Linked DNA regions of Kluyveromyces lactis. The protein of the gene in region 7 interacts with the protein of the main gene of each other region in a pairwise test. Links are inferred from orthologs where the notes say so. Each region holds a gene or a part of one and is shown on either strand. Other genes may lie near its edges. The genes, in order: RRP7, PER33, GTS1, VRP1, KLLA0_A09757g, EDE1 and SLA1.

Evidence for each region.
Region 1: the proteins of SLA1 (region 7) and RRP7 interact in binary tests that used the Saccharomyces cerevisiae proteins (3 or more experiments, as listed by UniProt). The link is inferred for Kluyveromyces lactis from reciprocal best matches to the Saccharomyces cerevisiae genes SLA1 and RRP7.
Region 2: the proteins of SLA1 (region 7) and PER33 interact in a two-hybrid assay, tested with the Saccharomyces cerevisiae proteins (2 studies listed by BioGRID). The link is inferred for Kluyveromyces lactis from reciprocal best matches to the Saccharomyces cerevisiae genes SLA1 and PER33.
Region 3: the proteins of SLA1 (region 7) and GTS1 interact in a two-hybrid assay, tested with the Saccharomyces cerevisiae proteins (2 studies listed by BioGRID, with this or other methods). The link is inferred for Kluyveromyces lactis from reciprocal best matches to the Saccharomyces cerevisiae genes SLA1 and GTS1.
Region 4: the proteins of SLA1 (region 7) and VRP1 interact in binary tests that used the Saccharomyces cerevisiae proteins (3 or more experiments, as listed by UniProt). The link is inferred for Kluyveromyces lactis from reciprocal best matches to the Saccharomyces cerevisiae genes SLA1 and VRP1.
Region 5: the proteins of SLA1 (region 7) and KLLA0_A09757g interact in a two-hybrid assay, tested with the Saccharomyces cerevisiae proteins (3 studies listed by BioGRID). The link is inferred for Kluyveromyces lactis from reciprocal best matches to the Saccharomyces cerevisiae genes SLA1 and HUA1.
Region 6: the proteins of SLA1 (region 7) and EDE1 interact in a two-hybrid assay, tested with the Saccharomyces cerevisiae proteins (2 studies listed by BioGRID, with this or other methods). The link is inferred for Kluyveromyces lactis from reciprocal best matches to the Saccharomyces cerevisiae genes SLA1 and EDE1.

The regions. Positions count from the first base shown.
Region 1 is NC_006039.1:105,532-109,371, forward strand, and holds RRP7 (Rrp7p), read right to left. Parts: upstream 2,355-3,840; coding exon 1,374-2,354; downstream 1-1,373. Other genes in the region: STE50 (Ste50p), read left to right, coding at 281-1,168; SDH7 (Sdh7p), read right to left, coding at 2,561-2,950; HIS4 (trifunctional histidinol dehydrogenase/phosphoribosyl-AMP cyclohydrolase/phosphoribosyl-ATP diphosphatase), read right to left, coding at 3,265-3,840. UniProt on the Saccharomyces cerevisiae protein: Plays an important role in the synthesis of 18S rRNA but is not required for the 5.8S and 25S pathway. Is necessary for the cleavage at site A2. Is required for efficient association of RPS27 with the pre-ribosomal particle.
Region 2 is NC_006040.1:456,136-459,993, forward strand, and holds PER33 (Per33p), read left to right. Parts: upstream 1-1,736; coding exon 1,737-2,603; downstream 2,604-3,858. Other genes in the region: TUB2 (beta-tubulin), read right to left, coding at 1-475; Rab family GTPase YPT1, read left to right, coding at 3,361-3,858.
Region 3 is NC_006039.1:1,495,458-1,499,813, reverse strand, and holds GTS1 (Gts1p), read right to left. Parts: upstream 2,570-4,356; coding exon 1,418-2,569; downstream 1-1,417. Other genes in the region: serine/threonine protein kinase ATG1, read right to left, coding at 1-855; MND1 (Mnd1p), read left to right, coding at 3,258-3,935; COM2 (Com2p), read right to left, coding at 4,289-4,356. UniProt on the Saccharomyces cerevisiae protein: Appears to modulate the timing of budding to obtain an appropriate cell size independent of the DNA replication cycle. Transcription factor involved in both heat resistance and flocculation.
Region 4 is NC_006038.1:536,339-541,162, forward strand, and holds VRP1 (Vrp1p), read left to right. Parts: upstream 1-2,200; coding exon 2,201-3,970; downstream 3,971-4,824. Other genes in the region: KLLA0_B05995g (heme-dependent oxidative N-demethylase family protein), read left to right, coding at 1-886; ERV1 (flavin-linked sulfhydryl oxidase), read right to left, coding at 4,048-4,579, 4,666-4,748. UniProt on the Saccharomyces cerevisiae protein: Involved in cytoskeletal organization and cellular growth. May exert its effects on the cytoskeleton directly, or indirectly via proline-binding proteins (e.g. profilin) or proteins possessing SH3 domains.
Region 5 is NC_006037.1:854,166-857,810, forward strand, and holds KLLA0_A09757g (uncharacterized protein), read right to left. Parts: upstream 1,835-3,645; coding exon 1,241-1,834; downstream 1-1,240. Other genes in the region: FOL2 (GTP cyclohydrolase I), read right to left, coding at 1-735; KLLA0_A09779g (uncharacterized protein), read right to left, coding at 2,388-2,843; GOT1 (Got1p), read left to right, coding at 3,314-3,341, 3,530-3,645. UniProt on the Saccharomyces cerevisiae protein: May be involved in assembly and disassembly of the actin cytoskeleton.
Region 6 is NC_006041.1:513,342-518,580, reverse strand, and holds the start of EDE1 (Ede1p), read right to left. Parts: upstream 3,501-5,239; coding exon 1-3,500. Other genes in the region: KLLA0_E05765g (uncharacterized protein), read left to right, coding at 3,783-4,229; RSM7 (mitochondrial 37S ribosomal protein uS7m), read right to left, coding at 4,302-5,096. UniProt on the Saccharomyces cerevisiae protein: Functions at the internalization step of the clathrin-mediated endocytosis (CME) as an early-acting scaffold protein. Requires clathrin adapter proteins, ENT1/2 and YAP1801/2, for normal spatiotemporal dynamics and viability.
Region 7 is NC_006037.1:445,072-450,561, reverse strand, and holds the start of SLA1 (cytoskeletal protein-binding protein SLA1), read left to right. Parts: upstream 1-1,774; coding exon 1,775-5,490. Other genes in the region: SCL1 (proteasome core particle subunit alpha 1), read right to left, coding at 1-164; 2-hydroxy-palmitic acid dioxygenase MPO1, read left to right, coding at 451-972. UniProt on the Saccharomyces cerevisiae protein: Component of the PAN1 actin cytoskeleton-regulatory complex required for the internalization of endosomes during actin-coupled endocytosis. The complex links the site of endocytosis to the cell membrane-associated actin cytoskeleton.

The DNA.
Region 1 (3,840 bases), on a different chromosome or scaffold from region 7:
GATTACCCCGTTCCCCAGGAATCTTATGTCAGAATATTCGCAGGGTTCCTTGTCATTTCTTTATGATTTCCGACAATATGGGAAAATCTATATTTAAACTTAATCGATTATTTGAATAAAACCAAGTGATACCAGAAAGTTGATGAAAGGAGATCCGGGGAACAGCTCAGTCTGTGGAGCATATCATTGAGCCAACAGAAGCATATTGATCAGTGGCTAACCAGTGATTCAATTGTGTTTTTACATCTCTTAAGAACAGGCATAGAAACAAAAACAAATAATGAGCGGTACAAATGAATGGTCAACTGAGGAGGTTTGCAAGAAAGTCAAAGCAGAACTTGGATTAACGGACGGAGATACATTCATCCTAGATAGAATACGAGAGAACAAGATAACTGGATCTACGTTATCTGAAATCACACTTGCCGATTGCAAGGAGTTATGTCCTGATAGCATTAGTGCCGTGAGGCTTAAGACATGCATAAACAAATTTGTTGACACGGAAGAACAAGCACCGGAACAAGAATTAGTGTTGACTATGAAAGGCTTACACCAGACGTTAAATGAAAAGTTACAAGAATTCCAATCTAATTATGCGCAACTCAGATTGGATTTGTTGGAAATCGTGAAGAGGAACAGTGGATCTGGTTCAGGTTCCTCTCAGTCTTCTCAACAACTTCAACATCAACCTTCTTCGCAAGATTACTTCGATAGAGCTCCACACCATTCTTCACACACGCCATCATCACCCAAATACAGATCGAATTCCAATCCAGGGCTGCCACCACAATCTTCAAGCACCAGAAATGTTTCATCGTCACATATTGCCACCACACCCGGATCGGCGAATACTCCAGGCGGAGCTGGAGTATCATCAGCTCCAAGTTCAGAACCTATGAAACAATTACGTGCCTCAAAGGAGGATTCATGTGAAAAGGTTTTAAGAAATGCGATGAAGAGGCACAATTTGAATGAAACGGATTGGAGACAGCATGTTTTAGTGATATGCTATGGAGATCAAGAACGAGTTCTTGATCTCGATGAAAAACCAGTACAGATCTTCAAGTCTTTAAAACAACAAGGCCTGCATCCTGCAATTATGTTAAGACAAAAAGGTGACTTTGAGGAAGTGGGAGAAATGGCAGCAACACCGGGAGGTAGGCTATAATGTTTGTTATCTCCTCCTTCATCAACTGGAAAAAACACTTGGCAAGCAACCATAAACTTTCATTTTAGAGCTTTCATGAACGAATAATTGTATTGATAGATTAATTATCTCTTTCTATAAGAGTTACGTATGTTGTACAAAGACACATTCTCAACTATAGTAAATAACAAATAGAGCACCTTATCAGGAAAGTTTTCTCAAATAATTATGTGTACGGGTTGAACCTTCTTTTGGACTTCATCTCCTTTATCTTTTCTTGATCTTGCTTGAATTTGGCTAGCAACTCATTAATTTCCTGCTTCTTTCTTTCACGGACTTGGAATCTATAGAAGTCCTTCTTTGCCTTCTTGTCAACCATATTAGGCATCTTCTTAGGTTTCTCATGCTTTAATAATGGATTTCTGTTGAATATCTTTTTCCTTATGCTGTTTAATGATTTTGTATTCTTTCCTACTACTAATGTGAAACCATCTTCATCAACAATAGATGATTGTACTTCTTCTTGAGCTTGCTGTTCTCTTTGTTCGAAAAGAGCCATATGTTCATGTATATCCGTTTTCAAATATTTTAACGGTAATGGACGGTAGAATGCTGTGAATGTCTCGATTGATGGGGATTGAAATTCCCACAGTATCTGTTGTTGCTTCTTGCTAGAAGAGTATTTCCTTAGTGCTTCCCAACAGTTTTCTACGGACTGCTTATCCACAAACTGTAGTAATGCAGTATTTCTTGGCGTAAATCTTTTCTCACTAGGTTCATCAACACTCATTAAATGAGAAGTCAATGATGATAAGTCAACATCATGTAATCCGAACTCATCATGATAGAGTAGATCTTGCACATGCGAAACGGTTTCATTCTGATGACAGATCTCTTGGAAATTTTTCTTCAAGTTTTCGAGTTGTGTTAAAAGAGGTAGATTAACTAGGAATAAGCAGTGTTGTTCATTTTCCAGTTTTGATTGATGCTTTCTCACAAACATATAATGATATACTTTCGTCGGTTTCTGGTTTAAACTCTTTACTTGAGGTAGTAAAAACGGCACAATTAGGAAGCCATTTTGCATCTGTTCAAGAACCATTCTTTCGTATTGAAAGTGTGTGGAGAGGTATCTTGATCGGTGTATAACCCAAACAAATTCGTTGAAAGTTGTTGAAGCGAATTTCTTCAGCTCATCTCTTCTCATCACTTTACTAACTTTAAATCATAGTTTTCATTACACAACTACTAAATAGTGTCGAGAAGAAAATTTTCAATATAAGACGAAAGTCTTTTGAAGTCACGTGCAACAAAAAGTTGAGTATATAAACCCTTCTCCTCACCCACTACTTGAGAGAATTTGGAGGAAAGATATAATATTTGGGAAATGTCTGTCTTACAACCTTCCGAAGATCATTCACCACCTGATTTCAGCTGTTCAGCTTCTTTCATCAATTCGTACAACTGGGTAACTTGTTCTGGTGACATCTTTTCAAGCAGGTCAGTGGATAAAGTTCCTTCTTCCCATTCACCTCTTGTAATCATATGCAGATAATCCTGCCATGAGGCTAAGAATCCAACAATGTATAAGGGATTGTCAGTACTCTTATGCAACTTGAATTCATTCTTGACATATTGATCTCCCAACTCTCTCTGCATCGTTGGTAAGTTTCTGTGTTCTCTGAGGATTCTACGGTACAATTGTAACGGAGGCAAGAGCGGTTTGTGAGGTTTCCTCGAACCTAGCCGTCCCGCTCTAGTGGTCTGTTTGACAGCTTGCCTTAATAGATGGTTAACCTGCATGTTTAATGGGTTGCTGGTACGTTACGCGGAGTCACAGCTCTATATCATCAATTTATTCAACTCTAGCGATGATGATATGCGGTATCAAGCATTTTCATTAAGATTTCCATTGTTTTTGTATTTAGAAGTCACGTGAAGTAATATTTTGATACTTTGAATATGCAAATCTCTGGGGAAGTTTCATGCATTCAACGCGTGCTTCTGGAGTAAGCTTCTAAACAATTCGAATGGTTAAAGTTTATTCATTTCTATACAAACATAGCATTATTTTTCTTTTAGATATTAAATTCAAATCTTAATAAGTTAGTTCTATATTATTCAAAACCTGATGGTAGTAAGCCCAACTTTGACATCCTGATCTTGACTGCGTTTCTGTGAGCATCCAAGCCTTCGACTTTAGCAACACTCATCACAGCATGACCAATATGTTCTAAACCGACTGGGGTGACCACTTGAGAAGTGATAAACTTCTGGAAAGTGGCTGTGTTCACACCACTGTACTGCCTAGCATAACCATAGGTAGGTAATGTATGATTCGTACCACTAGAGTAATCACCACATGATTCTGGAGTATAAGCACCAACAAAAATGGAACCGGCGTGATCCACATCTTTGACATAGTCTTCGGCATTTGAAATTTGTAGAATCAAATGTTCAGGAGCATATTGGTTCGACATCTTGAAGGCTTCTTCGTAAGAATCACATAGAATGATTGAGCTGTGGGCGATACATTTACGAACAATATCAACTCTAGGTAGCTGCATAGCTTGTTCGTGAACAGCATTTTGTAAAGCTTCAATCTTCGAGTCAGATAACGAGACACCTACCAAAATAACTTGAGAGTCAATACCATGCTCAGCCTGTGATAGCAAATCCGATGCAACAAAGTC
Region 2 (3,858 bases), on a different chromosome or scaffold from region 7:
ATTCTTCTCTGATCTTAGAGATCAACAAAGTACCCATACCAGAACCGGTACCACCACCAAGGGAATGGGCGATTTGGAAACCTTGCAAAGAGTCACAACCTTCAGCTTCACGTCTGACAACGTCCATGACAGAATCCACCAATTCAGCACCCTCAGTGTAATGACCTTTAGCCCACACGTTACCTGCTGAAGATTGACCGAAAATGTAGTTATCTGGTCTGAACAAAGTACCAATCTTAGAGTTACGTACAGCATCAATGGTACCAGGTTCCAAATCAATGTTAACGGATCTTGGAACCCATTTACCAGAAGAGGCTTCGTTAAAGTAAACGTTCAATCTAGCCTTTTGAATATCATCGATACCGTGATAGTTACCTTCAAAATCCAAACCGTGTTCACCACAAATAGTTTCCCAAAACGCAGCACCAATTTGGTTACCACATTGACCTGTGGACAAATGAATGATCTCTCTCATGTTTTAGAATATCTCTGAGCGCGTTATTGATCTGATCTCAAAAAATGACAATTGAAGAAACACAGCACAGGCAAATTGTAGAAAGACTTGGTGTTGATACAATCGAGGGGTATCTATAATCCAGTAATTGTTGATCCTTGTTCTTTCAAGAAAAAAAAATAATTATGCGATCTCTCTGTCCTTTACAAGAAAAAAGTGAAATATAATATGGGTAAAAATAGTAGTCTTGTCCACAGTATATTAAACAAACAAACTAACAAATCGAAATAGACGAGTTCTCACAGCTGTTATCTATAAAGTTATCTCTAACCCGTGCAAGCCTGTTCACAATCACGTCTGTGTTCACTTATTTAACCACTTTAAATTGTTTATTTATTTGTTTTTATTTGTTTATTTTTTTCCTCCTTCTCTTTCCTCATATCTTTGTTTGTATTTTGATCTTTGTTTCACTTCTTTAGGCAATTTTCGAGCACGTCTATTTCCCTTTGTGGGTTGCTAAGTGTGCGGGTAATACGGGAAACGGAAACTTACATCGCGTGATTTGCACGTGACTGTGATGTGTGAATTCCTGCGTAGTGTCAGTTCATCTAAAGACAAGAGTTGAGGTTGCAAGTGAGCAACACATTCCCCTAAGATTTAGAATAGTTGTCGAAGTGTTCCATGAGTCCAAAGACTGAACAGACTATTTTCTCGGATCATTTTCTTCACAGCTGACTTTCCGTATATGATAGAATCATACGGAAACTGGAATACTGCAATTTTCCCTAACTTTCGATTCTAGCTGACATTTAAAGACGATGTGAAAATTTAAAGAGAAACGGATTTCAGGATTAGGAAATTTAAAGAGGGAAAAAACGTCCAGTACAGTTTGTTAAGAGAAGGAAACCTATTAGTTGGAGAAGCGAAAGAGGGTTTGACTAGTTGGAATTGATCTGTCCAGTGCTACATTTTTATGTATATAGTAATCGGAAGGTTACTTTGATTAAGCTACGGTATTCTATTTCGAACCGAATCGAATCGGATCAGGTTAGCAGGTCTCTTTTTTTTTTTTTTTTCTTATATTTTTGGCTATCAATTGATTAACTGATTGTGTATTGAAGACGAAAGCTGTTTACATATTTAGCTTTTCAAGGTGTTTTTGTCATCGTTGATTGTGAACTCTTAACTTAGCGGCTCAATAGCAGTTGATTATCTCGTCTCCAAAAGAACTTTCGTGAGTTAGTTACTAAGGTTTCATTTTAAAGGTTTTCTTTTCAAGAAGATGTCTGAGGGAAGTGGCAATGGCAGTGGTAATCGTTATTCCAATGCTGCCGGTCAAAATGGAGGCAACAGGCCTGCTCAGAGACCTGTAGCCCCTCTGAGTGCTGTGTTCCGTACGAAGTTGAAACAGCCTCAGTTCTATTGGTTCCTTGGTCACACGTTATGCTTATACTATTATATCCAATATATGCTCTCATTCCGAGAACAAAGTGTAAAGACAAATTACAGGAAGATCATGCTATACACAGTGATCAGTTATGGGATTGTGCTTCACCAATATGTGAAATCAAAACAGTTAAGATTCCAGTGGTCGAATTTAAAACAGCAGATCAGACAGTTGGATAACCTACAATATTTTACACTTTCCATTGTTCTTTTGATATGTTCTCTATCAGGAGGGAAAACTTTAACTCAAACTGAATCATCTATGGTTATATACTCTTTGTTCCATGCATTGAATTATTTCAAAGAGAATGTATTGCCATTCATTCCAATGAACCCCATGTTAAAAGGTTCATTGTCAAATAAAATCTCGTATTTCATCACCAATTTCAACGGGTCTTTCTTCCATGCTGCAGTGATGTCAGAACTTGTAACGATGTGCAAAGTGTGTCTCATGCTGCCCATACAGTTAATCTCTGTGCTTATCACATTCAATGCCAAGAGTTTATTCACACTTCTATCAATCTGGGCATACGCTATATTCTTTAAGTTAAGATACAATCAAAGTGAACAAATGAGGTTGCTATGTAACCAGAACCAAATGATGATTGAAAACTTCATCTCAACTCGTTTGCCTATGTTCATGGACAAATGGTTAGGCATTAAACATTTGGCTAAAGTCTTCTTTGATAGAATCCTTGCTTGAAAACGCTAGAACCAGTTAGAAACTCGAAACTTAAGTTCATTCATAGAGTCTTCCTGCAAGTTAGTCAGTAGAGCATCTAGATATACACATGCATACATATATATGTATCTTAACTTAGAAAAAACTCATCCAAGCAAAGATTCTTGCATTCGCATCTTACATCCTGTGAGATTTTGTAGAGTTTCACATCTCCCCTAAAGATTACTACGAATCATTCCTATCAGTTACCTGAACTTTGTAATGTCTTCATCCATTTCATTACTTGTCCGAAATAGTTCAGTGTAGTGTAACAGGTTCATTACTGATCTATATCAACAACACTGTGTATTTCTGTGTCACGTGATGGTAATCTTTTGTGGAATCTTTTCCGTTCAGGAGAACAAAATTCAAACAGTGAAACCTGGACCGAAATACATTCTATTAAGCAACAATAGCATAGTTTCAGTTATTCCAAATGCGGTTTGATAAGACGCTTGCTTTTTTTCTGGTTACTGTTGCATATTTACTGAAAGCTTAACTAAAGGATAGACTTTTATTTTGGGGTTGTTATCATATTTTATCTTATACTTCCTTTACTCATTTTCTTTAACGGAGAGATATTAACAACGAGGGATACAGAAAGGTGTGTTTAAAATAGAGAAATATTGTAAACTTACAACGCAGTCCATCCAATCACAACTTACAAAAGGAGCCCATATTTTTTAACAAACAGTCGAATCGTATCAGTCGCTATAAACTACAAGCAAACAAAGAAAAAATGAATACCGAATACGATTATTTGTTCAAATTATTGTTGATTGGTGATTCCGGTGTTGGTAAATCTTGTTTATTGTTAAGATTTGCCGATGATACCTATACCAACGACTATATATCCACCATCGGTGTTGATTTCAAGATCAAGACTGTTGAGTTAGATGGCAAAACTGTTAAGCTACAAATTTGGGATACTGCCGGTCAGGAAAGATTCAGAACTATTACATCTTCTTACTACCGTGGTGCCCACGGTATAATTATCGTTTACGATGTAACAGACCAAGAATCCTTCAACAACGTCAAGACATGGTTGCAAGAAATCGACCGTTTCGGTACAGCTGGTGTGTTGAAGTTACTAGTTGGTAACAAGAACGATTTGACAGATAAGAAGGTGGTTGACACCGAAGTTGCTAAAGAGTTCGCAGATTCTATTGGAATTCCATTCATCGAAACCAGTGCACTAGATTCTTCTAACGTTGAGGAGGCCTTCTTGATCATGACC
Region 3 (4,356 bases), on a different chromosome or scaffold from region 7:
GGGCACTGTAATCTCATCGTTGGCCTTTTTAATCTTTTGAAACAACTCGAGATGGTTTGATGCTTTAAAAGGCGGTCTCCCGCAACACATTTCGTATAGCACCGTTCCTACTGACCAAAGATCAGCCTTGGCATTGTATTTTTGATAGTTTAATATTTCTGGAGCCATGTACAATGGTGACCCGCATAAAGTTTCTGCTAGAGAAGTATTAGGCAAGAATCTAGCGAACCCAAAATCCGCGATTTTCAAGATGGGTAAATTGTAGATTCCCACAAACCCCAACTCATGAAACGTCTTCGGATCATTATAATCTAATAACGGTGTGCATAACAATAAATTCTGTGGCTTGATATCTCTGTGTACTAGATTCTTAGATCGCAAAAACTTAAGCGCAGAGGATAGTTGTTGTAAATAGTTTACCACAAGAACCCGATTTAATCCATTATGTTCCGTACTTGGTGGCGGGTAATGTTCAAAAACAGTCTTTATCAAAGGATGCTTGAGCACTAGGTTCTTCCTCTTCTTTATGAAAAACGTTAAATCACCTAGTGCACAGTATTCCATGATCAAATAGAAATCAGATGAAGTCCGCTCACAATCTATTAACCCCACAATATGCGGATGTTTGATCTTCTTTAAAATGGCAATTTCGACCTCCAAATTCTCCAAAAGCTTCTTGTTCTTTAGCTTCGACCTCGACACGGCCTTGATAGCTATGTTTCTCCCATCTCTTAACGATAGACCTTTGTAAACAACCGCGAATGAACCCTTACCGATCTCCTTCTCCACGGAATAGTTTTCTGTCGGCAAACGAATGGCTTTCGCCACAACTTTGTCGTGCGATTCTGAACTCATGCTCAACCGCTTTCCATATGACTACTCAGTGCCAGACCGTTGTCATTCTTTGGCCTCTTTCTTTACAAGGGGGGGCGTTCTTATTTCTTATAAATGGTTTTTAAGGATCAAAACTTAGTTTGTAATAAGTCATTTTGAACTTTATATAGAAATAAAGAAACAAAGAAGGAAAGACAGATATATCGCAGAAAACGTACACAGTAAAGGCAGTGGAAAGACACTGGTGCTTGGTGGAACGGTTTTAAGAAAACGCTCGTTAAGTGCAAATAAGATATGATTGGTTATGAGTCAATGGGAGGTTTTTTTTTTGATGGTCAGTAAGATAATAGTGGTGATAGCTAGGTAGTAAGTAGATCGTGGATGTTCCGGATAAGAGTGTATAGCAGACGTTGTGAAACGTCAGAGGAGGAAGACAAAGTTAGATATTAGTTGTAGCGGTGTTTTGGTTTTAGCCATATTTACGTATTATATAGGCAAACATAGGTATGAGAGATTAAACCGTAGTGCGGTAGCAGATGTGCAGTTGCAGCTGCAGCTGCAAAGAAGGCCAAGGGATGATGATCTATTGGAATGGGGGGTAGAATTGTTGTTGGTACTGTTGTGGTTGTTGGTATTGCATTTGTTGTAACTGTTGTTGCTGCAGGAGCTGTTGCTGTTGCTGCTGTTGTAGCTGCTGTTGTTGTAGCAGTTGCTGTTGCTGCTGTTGTTGGTCCTGCTGTTGTTTTTGGAGATTCAGGATCTGTTGGTATTGTGGATTATCCGGTTTGATTTCTACGGCACTAGAATATAAATCTGGTCTTTGATACAGTGATAATAGTGTGTTCTTATCTATCGATGGTTGAGCAGTGAATTGAGGCTGTACCTGTTGGGTGAACTGAGGTTGTAATTGCTGTGTGAATTGGGGTTGCACTTGTTGTGTAAACTGAGGTTGAACCTGTTGTGTAAACTGAGGTTGAACTTGTTGTGCCAATGCTTGTACCTGGGCCTGCTGCATTGCCGCATAGGAGTTTTGATCTACATAAATTTGGCCGGTAGTTGGATCATAGTATTGTTGTACCCCATCGAATACTGCTGGGCGAGGTTCTGCCGATGCTGTACTAGGTAGGCTTGGTTCACTTGTTCCATCGAAAACGGCTTCTTGCACTTTGTTGTCCGGCCTTTTTGGAAGCGGAGGTCTGTCTCCTTCTCTTGATCTTGGTCTACTGCTGGCAGATGAGGCAGAACGGTTTCTTCTGGACCCGGACGCAGATGATGGGCGGGATGACTTGTAGTCCAATTGTGACGAATCATCCTCTAGATTGAAATCTTCCACCTTGACAGCGGTATGTCTGAACTTACCCTTTAAATATTTATCCCTGATAAACATTTCAACGGCAGTACGATCCTCGTCACCGTCAAATGGGAAAGGTTCTTTCTTAGGGTTCCAAAAACTGCTGTTATGTTTGTTTCCTCCAAGATCGGCAACAGTTTGAACGTCACGCTTAGACCATCTATCAAGAGATAAAGATTTCACGATACTAGTAGCACCATCTTCTCTGCTGCCTAACACTTTCCTATGTACGGAAGCACACCGACCGCACAAGAATACACCCAAGTTCACTGAACAGTAGGTAGGGAATGGTGTCCCACATTCACCACATTTATTTGAATTCTCACCAGCGTTAAGCAAAAACTTTAAATCATGTTCTACAGATTCACCTCTTGATCGTCTCATTTTTGGTTTCCTCGCTTCAGTATCTCCTCAATAAACCTTACCTAAACTCGACTAGTCCAATTTGGGACCCCTATTTGATATAAACGTAATTCTAGCGTTGGGTCTTTATAATCTTATAATATGAAGTATTTTTTTTTATTTTCAATATCCGTTCTTCACTTTCACCATTTTATGCTTCGTTCATTCATAGAACTTCTGTTCCTGTTCGGAATTTCAACCGCATAGAATATTTCAAGAGCTATTTTTGTTCAACAAACGTAAGTCTATTGGAAGCAGTCAGTACGATATACCATCTTGGATACCTTTTGAATAATGACGTGATAGACAGGCTTAAGCTATGTACTATCATATTGCCTCAGGAGAGTTTATTCTCACGTGGTCTGTCATTTAGCCGGAGAATAGGATCTATTTTAATGTTTCGTATATAGCAGCTAACCGCCTCCCCAATTATAAGCAACCATGGCTATTAATATGGCATCTCTGAATTGATTCAATTACTCTCGATTCTGATACTTCTTTCACCAAAATATGTTACTGTTTATAAATTTCCCCATGGAAAATGACATTTCGTCTTCTTTTATATATTTTTATCAAGGTTCAGCGGTTAAAAACAAACAGAAGAAGAACCATCATCACATCAAAGACATCAGCTTCAATTAAGTCTATTAAAAGGTTCAAATAATTCAACATGGCCCCAGGTAAGAATACCGTTTCGCTTGCCGAGAAAAAAGCACGTATCCTAAGGTTTTTCCAAGAAGAACATACCGTATACAACATGAAGGAATTAGAGAAATATATCCCCAAGAAATGTGGCATATCTTCCATGTTAGTGAAGGTATTAGTACAAAAGATGATTGATGAAGATGGATTGATCAGTGTGGAAAAGTGTGGGAACATTAACGTGTATTGGTCTTTCAAAAATCAGATGCAAAATAAGTTGAATAGCGACGCCAGTAACATAGAGAAAAGAATAGAGCATGAGAAAAGTGAAATTGCTCGGTGTCAGGAATTGTATCAGAAGGAAATTCAAGGCCAGAGGAGTGATACGTTGAAGAATAGACGCGGCTGGAAAAGAAGTGCACAGCTAAGTAAATTGAAAGAGGTTCAAAAGACAATTCGTGAATTGAACTCCAAATATGAAGAATTATCCAAAAATAACTGGACTCCACAGCGCATCAAACAGGAGAAACATAATTTGTTTGAAAAGGCAAGTTTTGCTGTAGGTCTTGCAGATAACATTGATTGCATCACTGGGCATATCTCATCTACGTATTGTGTTCAAATGTCTGATTTGAAAGTTGAGTTGGAGCTTCCTAATGAATTCAATCAATTTGAAACAATACTTGAAAAGTTGGGTCACCTTTAGTAACGAGAGGTAAGCAGGGTTGATACATTGGATACTATATATACATATACGATGTTCATATACTGCTTGATAAGCTGATTGATATTCAGAATTATAGTTTTTTTTTGTGATTTTAGTTGATTATTATAGTATAGGGCATAAAATGTTGGTGGGATAAATATGATATCAGTGTCAGGTGTAGTAGGAAGTTTGAATGTCATTTAGATGCTGAAATCCCAATATCATATCATAAATAGTCTCGTTAGAACTTTTTTTCTTCATTATTTGAGGTCATATCATGTCGCAAAATACTGCGTGAAAAATCGTTTAAAGTTAAGGCAGAAAAGTCTAAATAAGCGCTATTAAGAAGAATGTCACTTGTCCTCGTGTGTATGTGTTTTCAAATGTTGACTTAAGTTGTCACTTCTGCTGAATTTTTTCC
Region 4 (4,824 bases), on a different chromosome or scaffold from region 7:
AAGGTTCCCTCAATACTTCACTGTGGTGCTACATCCAAATGATGAAACACCCGGTGTCTTGTACAACAGCATCATGGACGAGTATCATCCAGTGGATGCATTCCATTATCTCAAATTACAAAGTACCGATTTGCAGTTCTTGAAATACCGGTGTTGTAACATAGACATCATACCAGAAGAGTTGAAGGATCCATCAAACCTATTTGATGAGGTTGGAAGAATTGCCATAGTAACCACAGAAAAGACGAAGAGAGCTCACGAGTTGATTTTGGCGGTACAAAGAATGGTTGAAGAAGATTTAGTACTGTTGTCTCCAAATGCTAACGGCCAATATAATAACGAATATATAATGATTTCGGGATGTTTTGCATTTGCAGCAGGGTTCAATCCTCGTCAACGATTCCTCAAACCCATGACACAAATCCATGGACCTGTTCCAGAATATAAGCAAAAATTACAGACGCAAATGAATAAATTCTTCCAAACTCACAAACCCGGAAAATTAGTGATGAGGATAAACTTCTCGTTCCAAACACATTCCAAACTGTTTGTCACAGATGATAATAAGGGTACAGAGGAAGAGGAAATTCGTCCGAAAACTTTAGAAGAGATGCATGGAGGTCATGATTTGCATTACAGATCTGAAAGACAATGTCTAATCAAATTAGAAAACTCAAAATCAATGTGTTTTTCTATCAAGACGTATCTATGGAACTTGCAAGATGAGTTCTTAGCAAACGATTACTATTCACAGGAAGGTGTTATTCAGGATTTATGTGACGCAGTGAAAGGAATGCAAGATTCAATTGGACAATACAAGCGTAAACCCGAGTGGGGGCCAGCATTGCTTGAAATGCTTGAATCAGCATTACATAGAAAGTTGTAAATAACTTTAACGAACAATATTGACAGATACTCTTAAATTAACGAGTGTTGTTAATAGAGCTTGAGTCGAATGTGAATGCAGTGACGAAAAAATAAAAAAGCTTCTCCGCGACGGGGAATTGAACCCCGATCTCGCACGCGACAAGCGCGAATTCTAACCATTAAACTATCGCGGAATAGATATTTTTATGAAAGATTGAGAAGACATTCCCTCACAAGTCTGGAATACGAAACCATGTGCAAGAAGTTCATTTCCGAGACTAAATTATAAGGCTTTTTGGGTAACCAAGGTTCGAATCACAAAATACCATACGATTTAGAGATGTGCCCCAGTTTCCTGGGTAAAGGACGCTATTTATGCATCCAAAACCATTCGTGAAAATTCGTGATGATGTTTTTTAGCATTCAACAGAGGAAAATCCACAGAAACGAGGGAAACACACAGCAAGAAGCTGTGAATTTATCTTCAATTTGGGCATCGCTTTGAATCCATGCACCACTGAAAGAAAAACTGCGCACGGATCTTCGAAGATGCCACTTAAAATCTATATACTATGAGGACGGATTCCATTAGCTAAGTTAAAAGAACGACGACAGAAAATGCATTACTTCGCGTTAGGACACCTGTCACTAACAAAACAAAGAATTGACAACGTATTACATCTTGCTGTGGAATATATTAGCTCAATTTTTAATCCAATCCCCGATGGTGGTGGTACTAGCTATAGATAGTGTACATGATATATAGATTTCAGTACCTTCTTCACATAGTAAGTTGTTAAGATGCTTGATCGCCTTTGAAAACTTTTTTAAGACAAGGTCCAATACCAAAATGTTACCCGAATATATTATATTGGTAAATTATTCGTATAGGGCTGGTAACTGGGAATGGCACTCCACTAAAACGATGTTCCTCATTTAGTTACTACATGCCGATGCTACCGCGAAATCATGAAGAGGTCCAGTGAACTTCGTACTGTAGTAGTATCATAGAATCGTCTTGCATTGCCGTATTCTTCTTGATTATTGATTTAGCACCGAACTGAAAGTGTAGTGTCTGGGTGGAAAGTGTAGTGTCCGGGTATCCTTGAGGCTTCCAGATATCAATTAGCTATTTAAAAATGAAAGAAACGTCAAATCAGAGAGAAACAAACTGTTGCAGTGCATAGGGGTCCACTGCGTTTAAGGTAGTTATTCGAAAAGAATCATAGCGATACCAATTGACCAGTGTGTTTCCGCTAAAAGTTCTATAAGACTTAAGGATTTGAGCATACTTTGTTATAGATAACTTGCTGAACATAGAAATTAGAATAATATGGCTGGTCCACCTCCACCACCAGCACCTCCTCCGCCTATGTTTGGCGGAAATTCATCCAATGCTGGCTCCGCTGCAACTCCTGTCCCACCCCCAGCGGCTGTTCCAGGACGTGATGCCTTATTGAGTGATATTAGGAAAGGTGCAAAACTTAAGAAAGCACACACTGTGGATAAGAGTGCACCTGCGATTGGAGGATCAAGTTCGATGAGCCACTCTGTATCAGTATCGAGCTCAGCAGTCCCGCCTGTAGCACCATCGATCCCGACTCCAACTCAGCTTCCCGGTGTCCCTCAATTGGGAGATATACTTGCTGGTGGGATCCCTAAATTAAAACATGTTTCGGGTTCCTCTAAATCACCAGCTATTCCATCTGGAGCTCCTCCGCTTCCGGATAGCTCTTCAATCCCAAAAATTCCTTCTAATAGACCACAGCGTAAAAAGACTTTGAGAAGTGAGGGTGATTCGTCAGTGGCGGCTCCTCCTGCTCCTCCTCCAATGGCAGCACCGGCAATTCCAACAAGTCCGCCACCAGTACCCATGATGAACACACCACCGGTTCCGAAACATCCTCCAGCAAGACAACGCACAGAAGCACCTCCGGTTCAAGCACAACCTGCTCCGCCTGTAACGTTACCACCTGCACCTCCAGCTCCTCCTATAGCCGTGCCACCAGCTCCGGCACCTCCAGTACCTCTAGCACCTCCCACAATTAGCACCCCTCCTGCGGCCCCACCAGCACCTCCTACGCCTGCACCTCCTACATCTGCACCTCCAGCTCCAGCACCTCCAGCACCTCCCATAATCAGTACCCCTCCTGCAGCCCCACCTGCACCTCCAAGCATATCATTCCCAACGTCCACGCCGCAACCACCACCATCTGCACCGTCCCCAGCTGGAGGACTTCCATTCCTGGCGGAGATTCAACGAAAGAGAGATGACAGATTCGTAGTTGAAGGAACAGGACATGGTGCGTCGAATAATACAGCATCTTCCGCTCCAAAGGTACCGCTTCCCTCATCATCTGCTCCTCCGGCTCCTCCTTCGTTCAGTGCTCCTTCGGTTCCACCAACTCCAGCTCCTGCTGCTCCACCTTCAATTGCTGCTCCTCCGGCCCCACCGGCTCCTGCACCTCCTGCACCTCCTGCCCCTCCTGCCCCTCCGGCCCCACCTACTCCTTCCTTTAATGCACCTACGCTGCCTCAATCTACCCCAAGTTCTGAAGCACCATCTATTCCAGCCGGAGGATTACCATTTCTGGCATCAATACAAAGCAGAAGGGATGATTCTCACATTATCGAAAGTGAGAATAGTCATACACCAGTGGGTGCGCCAACGGCTCCTCCTTCCCCTCCTCCACAAGCCGCTTCATTTCCCTCTGCCAAAGCTCCACCACCTCCACCCGCAGCCTCAGAGGAATCTCTTCAACAAAATCAGCAACCTCAAGTGGAACGCACAAATAGTTCCTCATCAAAAGGTTTCTTCAAACACAGACTTTTTTCATCTGGTAATGAAGCCAGTCGACCATCTCAATCTACTAACCCTTACACAAATGCTGCTGAAATAGATGTCGGAGATTTCACAATAGAAGGAAGTCAAGATACGACCGGAATAAAGCTGAATAACAGTGGAATAACCATTGATGATTCAAAATTCGATTGGTCTAACAGAAACGATCTCCCCAAACCGAGACAATTCTTGGGCTTAAGAAAACTATATCCAAGTGGCAGAGGTTCAAGTGTTCCATTAGATTTTACTGTATTTACATGACTTTATAATGAGTAAGAACTATATAAGATATTAATGAAAGCATTCCTAGACGAGTGGAAGAGGAAGAAGTATAACACTTAATCCCACCCATCTACCCACCTTTTCTTCCACAAATCGCAGTTGAATTTCTCCTTTCCCAATTTCTCATTAACTTCATTATGTGCCGCACAAATCCATCTACCTAAGTCGTCTTTTGAATCAACCTTGGGTGCGTTCTCTTTTATAAATAGTTCAAAGTCCTTAGCACACCACCCGCATGGATAAACATGAGAGAATATGGTCATAAATTGTTTCATTTCTTGTTTCTGTGTGTCCGATGGCTTATTCGGATACTTGGCAGCTATCGTATGTAACAAAGTCCAAGAAGAACGGCCTAGCTCTTCGACATCAGCAGGCCCAGACTTAGAGTATGTCTTAGATCCAGGAATCAACAGTGGCTGGTCAGCTGAAGTATTTGAAATATCTGTCGCGGCCCCAGCTGCTAATTCACCGGAGCCAGGAGACTGAGTGGAATCCGCCACTGGTGAAGCAGAAGAATTGCCGCTTCCCCGAGCCTTCAAAGTGCCGGTCACAAATTGAAAGTCCAACAAAGTATTGCATGAACGACAGCTAGATTGATAGTACATAAACGTTAGTAAAAGTTTTCTGAAATTCGATTATTTCGTTTCTCGATATTAGGGTTGCAAAATACGAACGGTTTTCCATCTTCATCGTAGATGATTTTTCTTCCAGACAGTCCAAATTCTGGTGTTTTAGAAGTTTCAGTACGGCTTGACATGATTCATGCAGGTTGGTTGGAAAGATTTGGTCGTATGCTTGCATCTTTATGAATTCTATTCTCTAAATTTGTAAGC
Region 5 (3,645 bases), about 410 kb from region 7:
GTACCTTCTGCCCAAAAGGTTTAAGAATTCTTCTCTTGTCTTGTGTGATTCTCGCAAGTATCCCAACATACAAGAAGTGACAGTGGAAGAACCAGTTTTTTGGACACCACGAGACACCATACACATATGAGTAGCCTCGATGACCACAGCGACACCTCTAGGTTTCAAGATATCACTCAAAGCCATAGCAATTTGCTTCGTTAAACGTTCTTGTACTTGGAAACGTCTAGCGTACATCTCTGCTAAACGAGCCAATTTCGATAAACCCAACACCTTCTTATTAGGAATGTATCCAATATGAACTTTACCGAAAAATGGCACCAAATGATGCTCGCACAAAGAGAAGATCTCAATGTCACGAACAATAACCATCTCGTCATGATCTTCCTCGAACACAGCATTCTTAATCACATCGTTCATGATATTATCCTGATAGCCTTTAGTGAAATACAACATCGCTTTAGCGTACCGTGTAGGGGTATCCAGTAAACCCTCACGTTCGGTATCCTCACCGAGCTCACTCAAAATAGTCTTAACCGCATCTGCAATACGACCAACCCGTTTTTGTTCTTCTTCATCCGTTTCCTCTGCTCTTTCACGAGCACCAATACTAGGCCATGATAAACCGTCTTTTTCCACAGTAGGATTTAAGGTATAAGGCGAAGCTGGACGAATGTTCAAAGGAGTAGCACGTCTTTCAATCTGAGAGACGTGCGAGATATGTTTGTTTTCCATTATTGAATATAGCTAGCTGTATGGGTTACCTGATATGGGTTACTAATCCATGCAAAAGAAAGACCCTATAAATATGTGATACTGGTCAGACAACGGGACTTGTTGAGAGAAGCCGACAGAAGGAGACACGTACGCACAAACTAACACACAAAACGACAAACTTTCACTGAATTATCCAATCAGTTAAAGCTTGAAAGAGCCAACCCAAAATCGAAAACTTTACAATGGAACAAATGCATATGGTACGCTTTATACCTCTTGTTTCCTATAACTCGAACTCATCGAAATTTTTCACTTTTTGTCATACAAGGAAAAAAAGTAAAACTGTGGAAACACCGTACCATGAGAAGCAGCAATTAGACATGACTAGTTACTCTATCATGTGCTACCTCAGCCAGTACCCTGCTATTGAATGTTGTTAATGGACAAACATGAAATGAATAGAAATTAATTATGTACAATTTTACTTAAACAGTGTAGAGTTTGGGCGAATCAGATGATCAAACTAGTAGGTTGGTCCAGTAAGAATCCTGCCAAGACCGTAGCATACGGGACACGGTTCTTTATCCAAGAAGAATCGTACCCTACCAGTCCCATTGCAATTGTTACACATCATGCCTCCTATGCGACTGTCACCGGGACGCACAACGATAGGTGCTGAGTTTATGACGAAATTCTGTGGTGGCATCGTGACATTAGAGTATACGAACGCAGGTCTTGGCCCTGCACTTGGACGTGGTGGTTGTGCAGGTGGGGGTTTGTAGAATTTCGACCAACATTTCTTACATTTTTGTTGAGTCTTGATCTTGGTGCCAGTGTTCCCGCATTTTTTACAATAATATCCTGGAGGGTACGTCCAGGGTAGTTTCTTATTGCCAGTACTGGTACTGGTACTGCTTGAAAAGGTACTAGTGGAATGATGGTACGCTGGTATGGCATTGCTTGGCCGGGGCGGTCTTGCTGGTGGTTGTGTTGGACGTGGTGGAGGGTTTGGTGGGAGCTGCTGCTGCTGCTGCGAAGCAGCAGCAGTATCTTGTCTCAGCACTTCATCATACGACGGAAGATGCTCATCTGGCTGTATATCTGATTCTGATTTCATTGAAGTATTCTCAAAGTGACTGGTTCTCTGATCTCTGTTCTTTACTGATCCCGATCCCGTTCTCCATACACTTTTCTTTGACTAAATATATGTCCCTTATATATCTTGATCTTTTATATATACGTGATTTATTTGGCAGATGCACCTAAAATGAGGAAACCCTATAGCACGACGGCTGCAATGTGGACGAATCCCGATCCTAAACTGGGCTTTTAGCCATTGATAACTACTGGATGCAGCCAGTGAGTAACTGCGGACTTACAGACAAGGGTCCACTCTTGCCAATGCTCCTACTAATGGTTCTAATGGGCATCAAAGTCAAAGCCTTGATCAGTTCATGTTACCCGGACCATATATACAAATATCCGGGTAACAAACTCATATCTCTGCTCTGGCGATCTCATACTACTGACAAAGGAATCTGTCATCAATCAACAGACACCTGAGAGAGACAAGCAACTTCATATGGTTAGGAGTATCTGACTATGGGCGTTGCAATGCTAATATAAATTAAATTATTTACCTGGGTGTACATGTTATGTAGAATCTCTTCCTAATCCGTTGCATGGGCGGCATGGCTGGCATGGCTGGCATTGCTGACATGTTTACCCAAATGCTTTACTACAGCTACACCTAAGAGCACAACTGTGAGTATAAGACCACGTCTTGCTGGAAACTGCCTTCTATTGAATCTTGACCAACATGTTCTACACCTGCGTTGCGTCCTGGTCTCTACACCGGTGTTCCCGCACCTTCTACAGTAATACCATGGAGGATACGTCCAGGGAAGCTGGTCGATATCAGTACCGGTATTGCAGCTACTGGTAGTGGTGGAATTGGTGGCATTATTTGGTATATCATTGGACGCATCATTTGATTCGTCATTTGGTTCATCATTTGGTTCATCATTTGATGCCTCTTGATGCCGAGAAGCACCGGTAGACGAACCTTGTCCGACTGCTTCGTCATACGACGGAAGAATACCTGATTGTTTAACTGACGCTGCCATTATAGAATGTTGGGTCACGTGCCTAACAGCCAACGGCTCCTTCCAACCTTTCTTCCATGCATCTAGTTAGACATCTGGCTTATGCGTGTCTTATATATCCATGACTCGTCTAGCAGATGAGTGAACCATCATATCCACGCAATAACATGCAAATCCACGGCTCTAAGGTGGAAAAAGGAACCCTAAATGGTGTATAGTAATGGTGGCTTCAAGGGTATAAACCATTGGACTTAATAGCAACGGCCGGTAAATTTGCTGATTCAAAGCCTCGAACGATTTTCGTTACCCGGAAAACACAATGACCGGGTAACACTTCACGTCTTTTCAGTCCAGAAGCCCAATCGCGAAAAGCGATGGGCTTCTGGACGAGCGCAGTAAATATGTGCACATTAACGCATCAAGATAGGCACTGTTTGCCTCTCTATATATGCTCATAGTATTTGATATACACGCAACAATAGCACATAACAATGAGTAGTTGGCTATCGGAGTCACAGCGTATGTTAAACCATGTATGCGTTTACTATTATTTTTGGTTTCCCTTTACTAACATTTGTTATTTGAGATCGGCCAGTAAACTCATGCGAACATAAGGGAAATAGAAAGACGGATTGTTCAATCCGTCTTTCTATCTCACTTTTGTTACAGTACTTGCCAAAATCTTGAAATCCCACTTATCTCCCCAGAATTCGGTGCTGTGTTCACGTTCGGTGGATGTTTGTTCTTCCTTTTTGGTATCTTCACCTTCTTCGATAGAGCACTATTGGCTGTTGGGAACATCTTGTTCCTACTCGGCGTGCTG
Region 6 (5,239 bases), on a different chromosome or scaffold from region 7:
GCACTAGGTACTGGGTGCTGGAGTGGAGTAGGAGTAACGGAGGCTGGTACGTCAGAAGTTTGAATTGTGTTACCATTGTTGCCTAATCCAGAGAAAATCTCATCCCATTCGTCATTTCCTACCGGTGCCTTAGCAGATTCCTCACTATCAAAAGGTTGGACTGAGCTTGCGTCATGGAAAACATTCTCATCAAGATCTTGATGTGTAATGTGTTCGAACTGATTGACAAATTCAGGAGTATCAGGTTTACTTGATACATTTTTGGCGGAAGATTCGACTTGTTCATGCTTTTCATCCTCCGAAGAAACTTGAGTGTCTTCAAGTTTGAGATCTTGGATGGCAGGAATATCGATTTCAGCGCCCTGGGCATCTGACACTTTATCTTGTGTCTCTAAAATTGGTGTCTTCTTGATCGAGTCAGCATCGGAATCTGATATTTGATCCTTTTCTAACGTAGAACCAGTAGACCATCCACCTGGTAATGGTTCATCAGTAGAAGCTGGTTGTACAGTTTCACTCCCTTGTTTAGTAATATCATTGTTTTCAGCATCTTCCAGCTGTTGATCAATGTCTAGGACAGCGTTTTCCTTTGGCTCACTCTCGACTTCGTCTCTAACTGATTGAGGTGGATTGTTGGCTGTCGACGATGTGACAGATTCTGTTCTAGGGATGCCGTATTCGTTTAAACTTCCTTCGAAAGAATCTGCCATCGCTTCGGCAGCAACTTCATCATTACCCTGCTGGTCATGTAATTGCTGCTCGCTTAATTGATCATCTTCTAATTGTTGATTTTGTTCTTCGTCAGGTTCAGTTTGTGAGACAGGAGTTGGAACATCTTTGTCGAAAACACTTTCTGGTTTTTCCTCCTCCTCAGCTGGCTGGGCAGTCTGAATTTGCAGTCTTTTTTGAATCAATTCGTTTGTATACTCATCATCAGGGGTTTCTCCCATGGCTAACTTCATTTGATTCTCAGAGAATTTTTGGACTCTATCGGCATAGTCATACTGTTGCTTCTCAAACTCTGCATTTGCTGCTTCAAACTCCGACTTCCTTTTATTCAAATCATTAAATAGTTCTTGCAACCTCGATACTTGATCACGGTATAGTTGTTCCTGCTTTTCTATCTCTGCTGTTCTGGATTGAACTTCCAATTCACGTGCATGTACTTCTTCAGAAGTTGCAAGGTATTGCTTATGTTTGTTTTCCATCTCAGCGTGCTGAGCCTCAATAGTAGCTTTGTAGTCATCCAATTCTTTGTGCTTTGATAAGTAGATACCAAGGGTTTGTTCAAGACTTTGAATTTCTGTTTGAAGATTGTTGGCAGTCATCTCTGAAAGTTCTAACTGCTTGGCATGAATATCGACTCTGGATCTTTCAGCTTTAGCATTCTCTTGAACTTCAGCCAACTGTTGCTGTAACTGAGAGGACAAAGTGTTAAACTGGGCCAACCTCTCCTTTAACTGCCTTTCCTCTTCTTGAGCTTGTTGCAACTGTGTTTGCAAATCCTCGTTCTGAGTCTGCACAGCATGATAATTTGCCTCTGCAACAGAAGCTTGTTGACTTAACTCTTCGTTTTGTGCACGAAGAGCGTTCAATTGCGTCTGTATCTCCTCCGTTTGACGAACTTCTTCATTGTAAGACGCACGCAAACCAATGAGTTTAGTCTCGATCGATGCCTTCATGTTAGTTATACGAGTAAGTTCATTCTGAGCAGCTGTTTTCTCTTCATGAACTTTCGTAGCTTGTGTCGTTAATGAACTCACCTGAGTGGAGAGATTTGCAAGTTCAGTAGTGGCCTGAGAAAGCGATGCCGGTGGCACAATTTCACGATTGTTAGAAGTGACTTCCCTCGAAGGGACAGAAACACCTCCAAAGTTTGGAACACTTGGTAACGAAGAATTACGTGCAGTGGGTGGTGGAGGAGGAGCTGCAGAGCCTACGTGTGTAGGAGCAGTTTGCATATACTGCTGCTGCTGCTGCTGCTGCTGTTGTTGTTGTTGCTGGTCGTTACCACCTTCTTCAGGGATAATGGTTTGTCCAAATGTAGATGAAGGTCTAAATTTCCTAGCATTTGGTGCCAAATGTGTTGAAGGCTGAGCCGATGATTGTGGCTGGGAAGGAAGAGATGGAGGCGGAGGAGTGAATGATTCATTTAGACCAAGCAAGTCATCCAGAGCGCTATTACTGGTTTTCTGAGCTTGAACCGGAGCTGCAAAATTTTGGTAATTTTGACCAGCATCTCCGGTGCTTGCTACACTAATGCGCTGTTGTTGTTGTTGTTGTTGTTGTTGATGGTACAAACCTAAAGCTGGCGAATTTAATAATTGATCAGGAACAACATCTGGCAATTCGATCCCGGCATTCTTCTTCTGAATTAAAAACATTGCAATCGCAAATTCAACCTTAGTGAAAACTGGACTGTTATGAATATCAGCAAGATCCCACACAGTTGCTAAGACATCCTGTCCCAATTTCGATGTCAAAAAAAATGGAACTAAGACGTTAGAACCTAAGGAACCCTTTTTCTCTTTATCCAAAGAATCGAAAATAGCGTCAAACTGCTGCTTTTTTTCAAGAGTCAAGGTCCAATCTGTTGCAGCATTAGAAAAAGTACCGGATGGAAGTCTGGACAAAGAAGGTTTTCTGATAATTCCCGGATTTCTGACAACAGATCCACTGCCAGATGTGAAAGAGAAGCCTGTGTTATTGGCGCTCAGTGGAGTCAGAGTAGAAGATGCTGTACTATTCAAAGAATTCCACAAATAATTTGGCAAAGTAGAAGGTAAGTTTTGAACGGCTGCGTTTTGCTGTAGTGTTAGCTGAATCAAATGCATCGCCATAACAAACTCCACTTTATCCAAGCTTCCGCTATTGCTCCTGTCACACAACCCCCAAATAGTACCTAGAGTTTGAGTTGGTAACTTTGCTTTAAGGAAGATTTCTCTTGCTTTATTACCAGCTAGGAAACCGCTTTCTTCCGTTGATCTGTCAAATAATTGGGCAAACTTGGCATAATCATGAGGAGTGCATACAGGAATGACGGAATAAGTTGGCGACGAACCCGTATTAGTTCTGCTCACCGATCTATTGATAACAGAGGGGACTCTCTGGACAGAATGAGACTGATTTGATGGTGGTGGGATAGATGGTTGTGTAGAAGCAGAGTTGAACTTTTGACTTTGTCCGAATGAAGGGAGCTTCGAAGCAGGAGTCTGATACAATTCTAAAGTAACTTGCGCACCTGGATTTTCCTGTAAGTGCGCAACCATTCTTAGAGCGGCGTTAAATTGATCAACAGTTAAGAAGCCCGCGTTTTCGGTATCGCAAATGGTCCATATTTGCGACAACTGTTGCGGAGTTAACCCTGATTGACTAAACAAAGGTCTTAAAGCTTCTCCAGTCACAATTCCCAATTGTTCTCTATCTAACCGAGAAAAGTGCTGGGAAAATGCTTGCTTTTCCTCACTAGTGAGGGGTACACGGAACGCAATACCTGACATGGTTCCCAGAGGCGTGGTGGATGTGTATCTGTTGCAGTTTATCGGCTATATTTCACGAAAGGGGTTTCGACCATTTGATCCAATTTGTCGTTATTCAATTATCTCAAAAAGATGATGAAACTATATAATCGTGCAAGATGACTTTCGGATCGCATAAAGAAGTGAAGCATTGATGTAGGATTAAGGTTTCCAATGCGATGAGAGAGTTGAGTTTATCACTTCATTTAGAAATTGTGTAGAGTGTATGCAACTCTTATTGAGAGTTTTTATGAAAATTGATAAATGATAAGATATAAATACGCAGTAACATTTTTCTCGAGTGTATGTTTTGTTGTCTTCCTCGGATTAACTACTGATGCCAGGTTAAAGCTAATAACATCAACTCATGATAAGCTCGCCCATTGCATAGTATTTTGCATTGAAACCGTTCTGTTTACCATGATGTTTGAATGTGATACCGTACAGTTGCCGGCATTCATCCCCAAAAGACTACGATCAAGGAATTTGGCTGCGTACGAACCTTTTTCCATGAACAAATATCTATTGGCATTTATTGTATGCTGCGTATGTGCCAGTACGAGCAGTGAATTTGCACAACAGTTCCTCTCACGAGGAAAAAGGTCCTTTGATGTAAACGATATTTTGGCCAATTTTTCGGGAAGTCTGCTGGGCCTAGGAATTGCATATAAGATAGAGCAACAAATTCAGCATAACTATGAAAATCGATAACGTTCATTTATATTTCACGTATACATATGTACAGGTTTATTCAAGTAAATACAGTGGAGGTTGGAACTTTGATCATTTTAGGTTAATGTAAGCTCTGTGTGCAATAGCAGTCTTATGAATAGAGTCTCTCTTTTCGAAACCTGAACTATTACCGTTGAAGACAGATACCAATTCTTCACCAAGTCTTACTGAGAAATCGCTCGATGATCTCTTCACAGAACTTTCCACAATCCATTTCCAAGCTAATCTAAACCTTTGTCTTTGATTCAATGGAACTGGAACCACAGTGGCCTTTGCGACACCAGTCTTGAAGGTCTTGATAACCATAAGAGGCGCCAACACATCCAAGGATTCTTTCAAAACTTTTACCGGGTCTTTCCTTGTTTGACAGAACACAATATATAACGCTCTTGAAAGAATCTTCTCAGCTCTTTCTCTTTTCCCGTGTCTCATAATCATATTCGTTACATGCTGTAAAACTGGATCCTGTTTTTTTGGAATGGGAACTTGCTTCAACGTTTCCCATTCATTTATTTGCTCTTGACTTGGCTCAAAGCTGGGCTTGTTCAATTCCATAGCCTTCTCCAAGATATTAATTCTAGATTGGTTACCTGGTGCAAGGGACGTAGCTGGGTTATAATCTTGTTGCGAAAACTCTTCTTCTAACGATCCAATAACTTTCAACCATTCATCAACCTGTTCGTCGCTAAGGCTAGCTAATTTCTCCCCTGTAGACGCATTATTATTCACAGATTGACTTTGGAATCTGGTTTGCATGGTCGGTATACTGGCAGCATGTACAAGTGGACTTCTTGCCAAAACGTTAGCATGGACGTGACTCAGACTAAACCTTCCTGCTCTCAACATACTGTACAATTTCCGTTGAATAGATGCCAGTGTACACAAGGACCACACAAGGACACACACAATACAACCAGAACCTATTCAATCTAAGAGTAACTCTCATTAGATCCAAATTCAAGCTTACTTCACCAGAATATGATGATATT
Region 7 (5,490 bases):
TCTGGGACTTTCTTCTGGCTAATTACCACAGAGGCGGTCTTGGACCTGATGGCTATTGAGTTTAGATTAGGTTGATTGGCCGCTTTGAAGGCATACTCGACTTGGTAAAGACGACCTTCTGGAGAGAAAATAGTAATGTGACGATCGTAACCTGCAGCAGACATAGGATATGTGGTTATAGGGATTCCCAATTGACGATTGAGATTCAGTAGTTACAGGAAGATCAATGAGTTGCCAGGTTCTTCGTATATCTTGGTAAAGGTAACTGTAGTGCGTTGATGTGTTTGCCACCAAAATTATTTAAAAGTTGAAATTAGAGTTAAAATTGAAATGAAATATTAAGGAAGGGGAAGACAACTGAGATAATGCAATCAATAAGAAAAAAAACAGCAACATCAAAAAACACAAGCAAAGCATCCGTGTTACGGTTTTGCGCTACCAAGTCTCAGAATGAGTCCCAGTCTTCTAGATCTAGAGACGCAACTAGCGTTCTACAAAGCTTATCATAACAATACTGGGAATGTGTTAATTCATAGCATTTTTGTCCCAACGATTCTCTTTACATCCATGCGTATATTGAACGACGTTAAGATCTGGAATGGCTATACCTTGACTCATTTGTTAGCGTTGTCATTTGGGTTGTTCTATATACTGTTACGAGTAGGTACCGGAATCCTTGCGTCGTTGATATTGGCACTGACGTGCAAATTTTTGAACGACGGGACTATTAAGATGACACAGACCACTGCCTGGATATTATTTGTGATCAGTTGGATCTTCCAGTTCATTGGCCACGGTGTTTTCGAGAAGCGCAAACCTGCGCTTCTCGATAACTTGGTGCAAAGTCTTGTGCTAGCGCCATACTTCATCCTTTACGAATTACTATTTATTTTAGGGTTCATGCCTGAACTTAAGAAGAATCTACAAGCTCGTGTTGACAAAGAGCTAGATCGTATGAGAGCGAGTAAATAAACTTAACCTCCGTTCGCCTAAACAGTATATATGCTCTATTTATGACTTCTATGATGATGACAATAACGATACTTGAACCCATGATGGAATTGAAACATCAATCACGTGATATAGAAATGATCTCTTTTTTTTCTTCTTTCTATCAGATCTCTGCGATTCGCAGTCACATGACTAGAACTGGGCAAGAACCCCTTTTTATTTCCAGATCCGGGATCACCGTATCATCATGTACGAAACACAACCCCGGGTAACCAAAGGATCACAGAAAAACAATTCGAAAACTGCAGGTTCTTGTACCACACTGCCAGGAACCGGTGCTGCGTGCTGTCGGTATTTTCATTTGTTCTTTTTCTGAGTGAAAATGAGAGAATCAGAAAATGAGAAAAGATTAGGCCCAAAATAATTGAATAAGTCTATCAATATACTTAGAACATATATAAATATATATATGTCTATACATATATAAGTAATTCGTATAAACAAGTTTTAGCTTGAATTGGGTTAGAAAGGCCAGACAAACTCTTGAGGTTTAGATAGAGTGCGCGAGTTGCATTGCAATTGTGCAAAAGAGAAAAAAAAAAACCAATCAAAACGGAGAAATAAAAGGAAATAGCATAATACCGAAAAGAGACGACAAAAAGGAAGTGTCTCGTATTCCTGCATTCTTTTAGTTTTTGATTTCAATTTAGTTTGGATAATTAAATTTGATTGGCGATTTGTATAGGGATCCTCTTGGCCTTGTATACAATCTGGAAGCTTATAGGTCCTTTTACTTGGCTCCTGACGCATTTAAATACCTACAATGACGGTGTTTTTGGGTGTTTACCAGGCGCTTTACGATTATTCTGCGCAAACAGATGAGGAACTAACTGTCAAAGAGGGTGATCTATTGTATCTTTTAGAAAAATCTAGCATTGATGATTGGTGGACCGTTAAGAAGAGAGTTATCGGATCTGATCAGGATGAACCCGTAGGTTTGGTCCCCAAGACATATATTGAAGAGGCTCCAGTGATTGGGAGTGTAGTTGCGCTTTACGATTATGAACAAGTTCAGAATGCCAATGAGGAATTGGTATTCCATGAAAACGATACGTTCCAATTGTATGACGATAGGGATGCAGATTGGTTCTTGGTGAAGAATACCAAGAATTCAGAGGTTGGGTTTGTGCCAGGTAATTACGTGGAAAAACAATCGCAGCAAGCTGGAGGTCCCGCTGCAGGAGTTACACAGTCTAAGCACCAAGCCCCAGCTGTTCTACCCCTTTCTGAACTTCCAGCTCCACCTCAGAGGTTGGACAGAGTCAATTCTCAACCATCATTCAGAAGCGGATCTACCCCTGCTGGCGCTGCAAGTACAGCAGATGCTCCAGGAGCTCCATCTACATCGACACCACCACCAGCATCAAATGCAGGCGTTGCGTCTCATACAACTATGCCAGTTGATGTTTCACTGCTCCCTCCACCTCCAAAGAGAAACGATACGGCAACCACAGAAGTCCAGCGTGAGTCAGCAGTAGCAGAACCTCCAGCAATGCCTCAAAGACCTTCTAATACTGAACACCAAACAAGTTATCGTGATGACCCAAGAGACAATAATAGAACTTCCCAAATAACTAGAGATTATTCAGATGATGAGCGTGATTACGATTTCGATGACGATGAGGAAGATCAACCTCCACTGCCATCTAGAAATGGAAGACCTTCAGCCTCGACCGCTGAACATGTTTGGTCTGTTAGTGAGGTTGATGGTCGTAAGAAATGTAAAGCTACGTTGACTGTTTCTGCTGAACGTATTCATTTCTTCTCTGCAAAGACAAAAGTGGATCAAGAATGGGCAGTTAAAGATTTGATCAACTATAACAATGAAAAAAAGCATCTATTTCTTGAATTTAAAAACCCTTACATTAACTTGGAATTGCATACTGGCTCTAACGATCTGGCTAACGAGATCATGGGCGTCTTGGGTGAGATTAAAGGTGCCCAGACAGCAGTTGGGTTACGTGAAGTTGAAGCTGCTTCAAGGCCTGCCATGACCAAGAAAAGAGCTAAAGCTGTATATGACTTTTTCGCTAACTCTCCTGATGAACTCACCGTTAAAGAAGGCGACTACATTAATATCTTAGATGACAGGACTTCGAAAGACTGGTATATGTGTGAATCTGTAGAAACAGGTAAAAGAGGCATTGTCCCCGCACAATTTGTCGAAACACGCGGATCAGGCTCATCAAGGCCTTCTGATGAAAGCCCTTCTAGGAGTAAGTCTAAGACCAGATCCAGATCTAACACTTCTAACTTTACTCAAAATTTAGTTGGCAGCTGGAAAGAGGATGCTGATCAAGATGTATCGAAGAAAAAGTCTAAAACTTCGAGCTTTTTCTCCAAGAAGAAGAAAACTGATGATAAAGAGTTCCCTGATCCTAAAAAGGTTAGAATTTGGGTAGACAGAAGTGGTACTTTCAAAGTTGAAGCACAGTTTTTGGGCTGTGTCGATGGGAAGGTTAACTTACATAAGGTGAACGGTGTGAAAATTGCTGTTGCTGCAGACAAATTGTCCGAAGATGATATTTTGTATGTGGAAAGATTGACGGGTATGTCTATGGAGAAATTCAAACATAAACCCAAGAGTTCAAATAATGACAGTAGTGCAGTAAACGCAGAACGTGAAAGAAGAAGAAAGGCTAAGGAGCGTGAACGGGAACTTGAAGAAAGAGAACGTGATAGACAATTAAGAGAGCAAGAACTTAAAGAGTTAAAGAGGGCTAGAGATCTCTTGGAAAGCGAAAGAGAAAAGCTGAGGAGTGCACAAGACAAAGAACTGCCACCTGTGAAACCACCAAGACCAGGCAGTGAAGCAAGCAAAACGCACCCTGTCACAAAGAGCTCCAAGAATCCCGAATACGATTGGTTCGAATTTTTCTTGAATGCTGGTGTTGATGTCAACAATTGTCAACGCTACACCATTAATTTCGAAAGAGAGCAAATTAGTGAAGAAATCTTGCCAGATATCGAGCCTTCTTTATTAAGAAACTTAGGTCTACGTGAAGGTGACATTTTAAGAGTAATGAAGTATCTAGATAACAAGTTTGGCAGAACAAAGGAGGCTTCTCCATCAACTGGATTGTTTACTGAAGCCGATGGATCCTTGAAGGTTAACCATACAGGTGCTCCCGCATCTGCAGGCGTATCTCATAATCTATTACCAGATAGTAATTCATCGAATAGAGATGATGATGCATGGACTGTTAGACCTGCTGCTAAAGCCAGCGACAGCTCCAACAAGGCTCAGGATTTCTCTGGGTCACTTCAAGATTTGCTTGATTTGCAACCTTTAGAGCCGAAGAAGAAAGAAACACCAGCTCCAGATGTCAAGCATCTAGAATCTGTCACCACTAACGGTTCGAATAAAAAGGAAGAAACCCCTCTGTCAGCAAATAAGACGGGTACTTCTTTGGTTCCATTAGATCCATTCAAAACTGGTGGTAATAATCTAATCCCTATTACTACAGGGGGATTCATTATGATGCCAGTAGCAACAGGCGGTTTAATGCCATTCCAACCGACTGGGGGGCTAGTACCTCTGCAAAGGACTGGAGGTATGATTGCACCTCAAACAACGTTTGGTATGCAACCAACAGGTACTGTCTTGCCAGTTCAAAAGACTGCGAACGGTTTGATACCAGCGAACACTGGAGGGTTGATGCCACAAACGACGTTTGGTGTACAACCCCAAACAGCATTCCCCGCTACAACCTTTGGTTCAAGTATCACAGGAGGCGCAATGCCTTTACAAAGGACTGGTGGTGCCTTACCTCCTACTTCCTTCAACACGCAAATGCCCGGTGCAATGCCATTGCAATCAACTAACACATTTGGTAATCAATTAACTGGAGGTGCTAATTTGCTGCCTTCCACCACTTTTGGAAACCAATTTACTGGAGGTGCTAATCTACAACCTGCTACCACTTTCGGAAACCAATTCACAGGAGGTGCGAATATACAGCCGGCTACTACCTTTGGGAACCAATTCACAGGTGGAGCGAACATCCAGCCAAACTTCAATTCTGGGAATCTATTTACCGGCAATCAAATGAACATACAACCCCAGACAACGTTTGGTAATCAATTTACAGGTGGTATCAATTTGCAAAACCAACCAAGCCTCGGAAATCAACTTACTGGCGGCGCTCTTCTTCAACAATCTCAGCTCTCCTTCGGCAATCAATTAACTGGTGGTGCTAATGTTCAACAACCGTTCAATAGCAACCTACCACAAACTTCATTTGGTTTATCTCAAACTACGACTGGTGGATTCCAGCCACAATCGTCATTTGGTATCAATTTACAAAGAACCGGAGGTATGAATACAGCACCTCAAACATCATTCAATAACCAAGGAGGTGTCAATCAAGTAACAAATTCCTTCCAGAATATGAATTTGTCCCAGCAACCACTGCAGAATCAGCCAACTGGATTCGGTTTTGGTAACGGTCCACAAGCTCAGCAACAAAGACAAGCAAA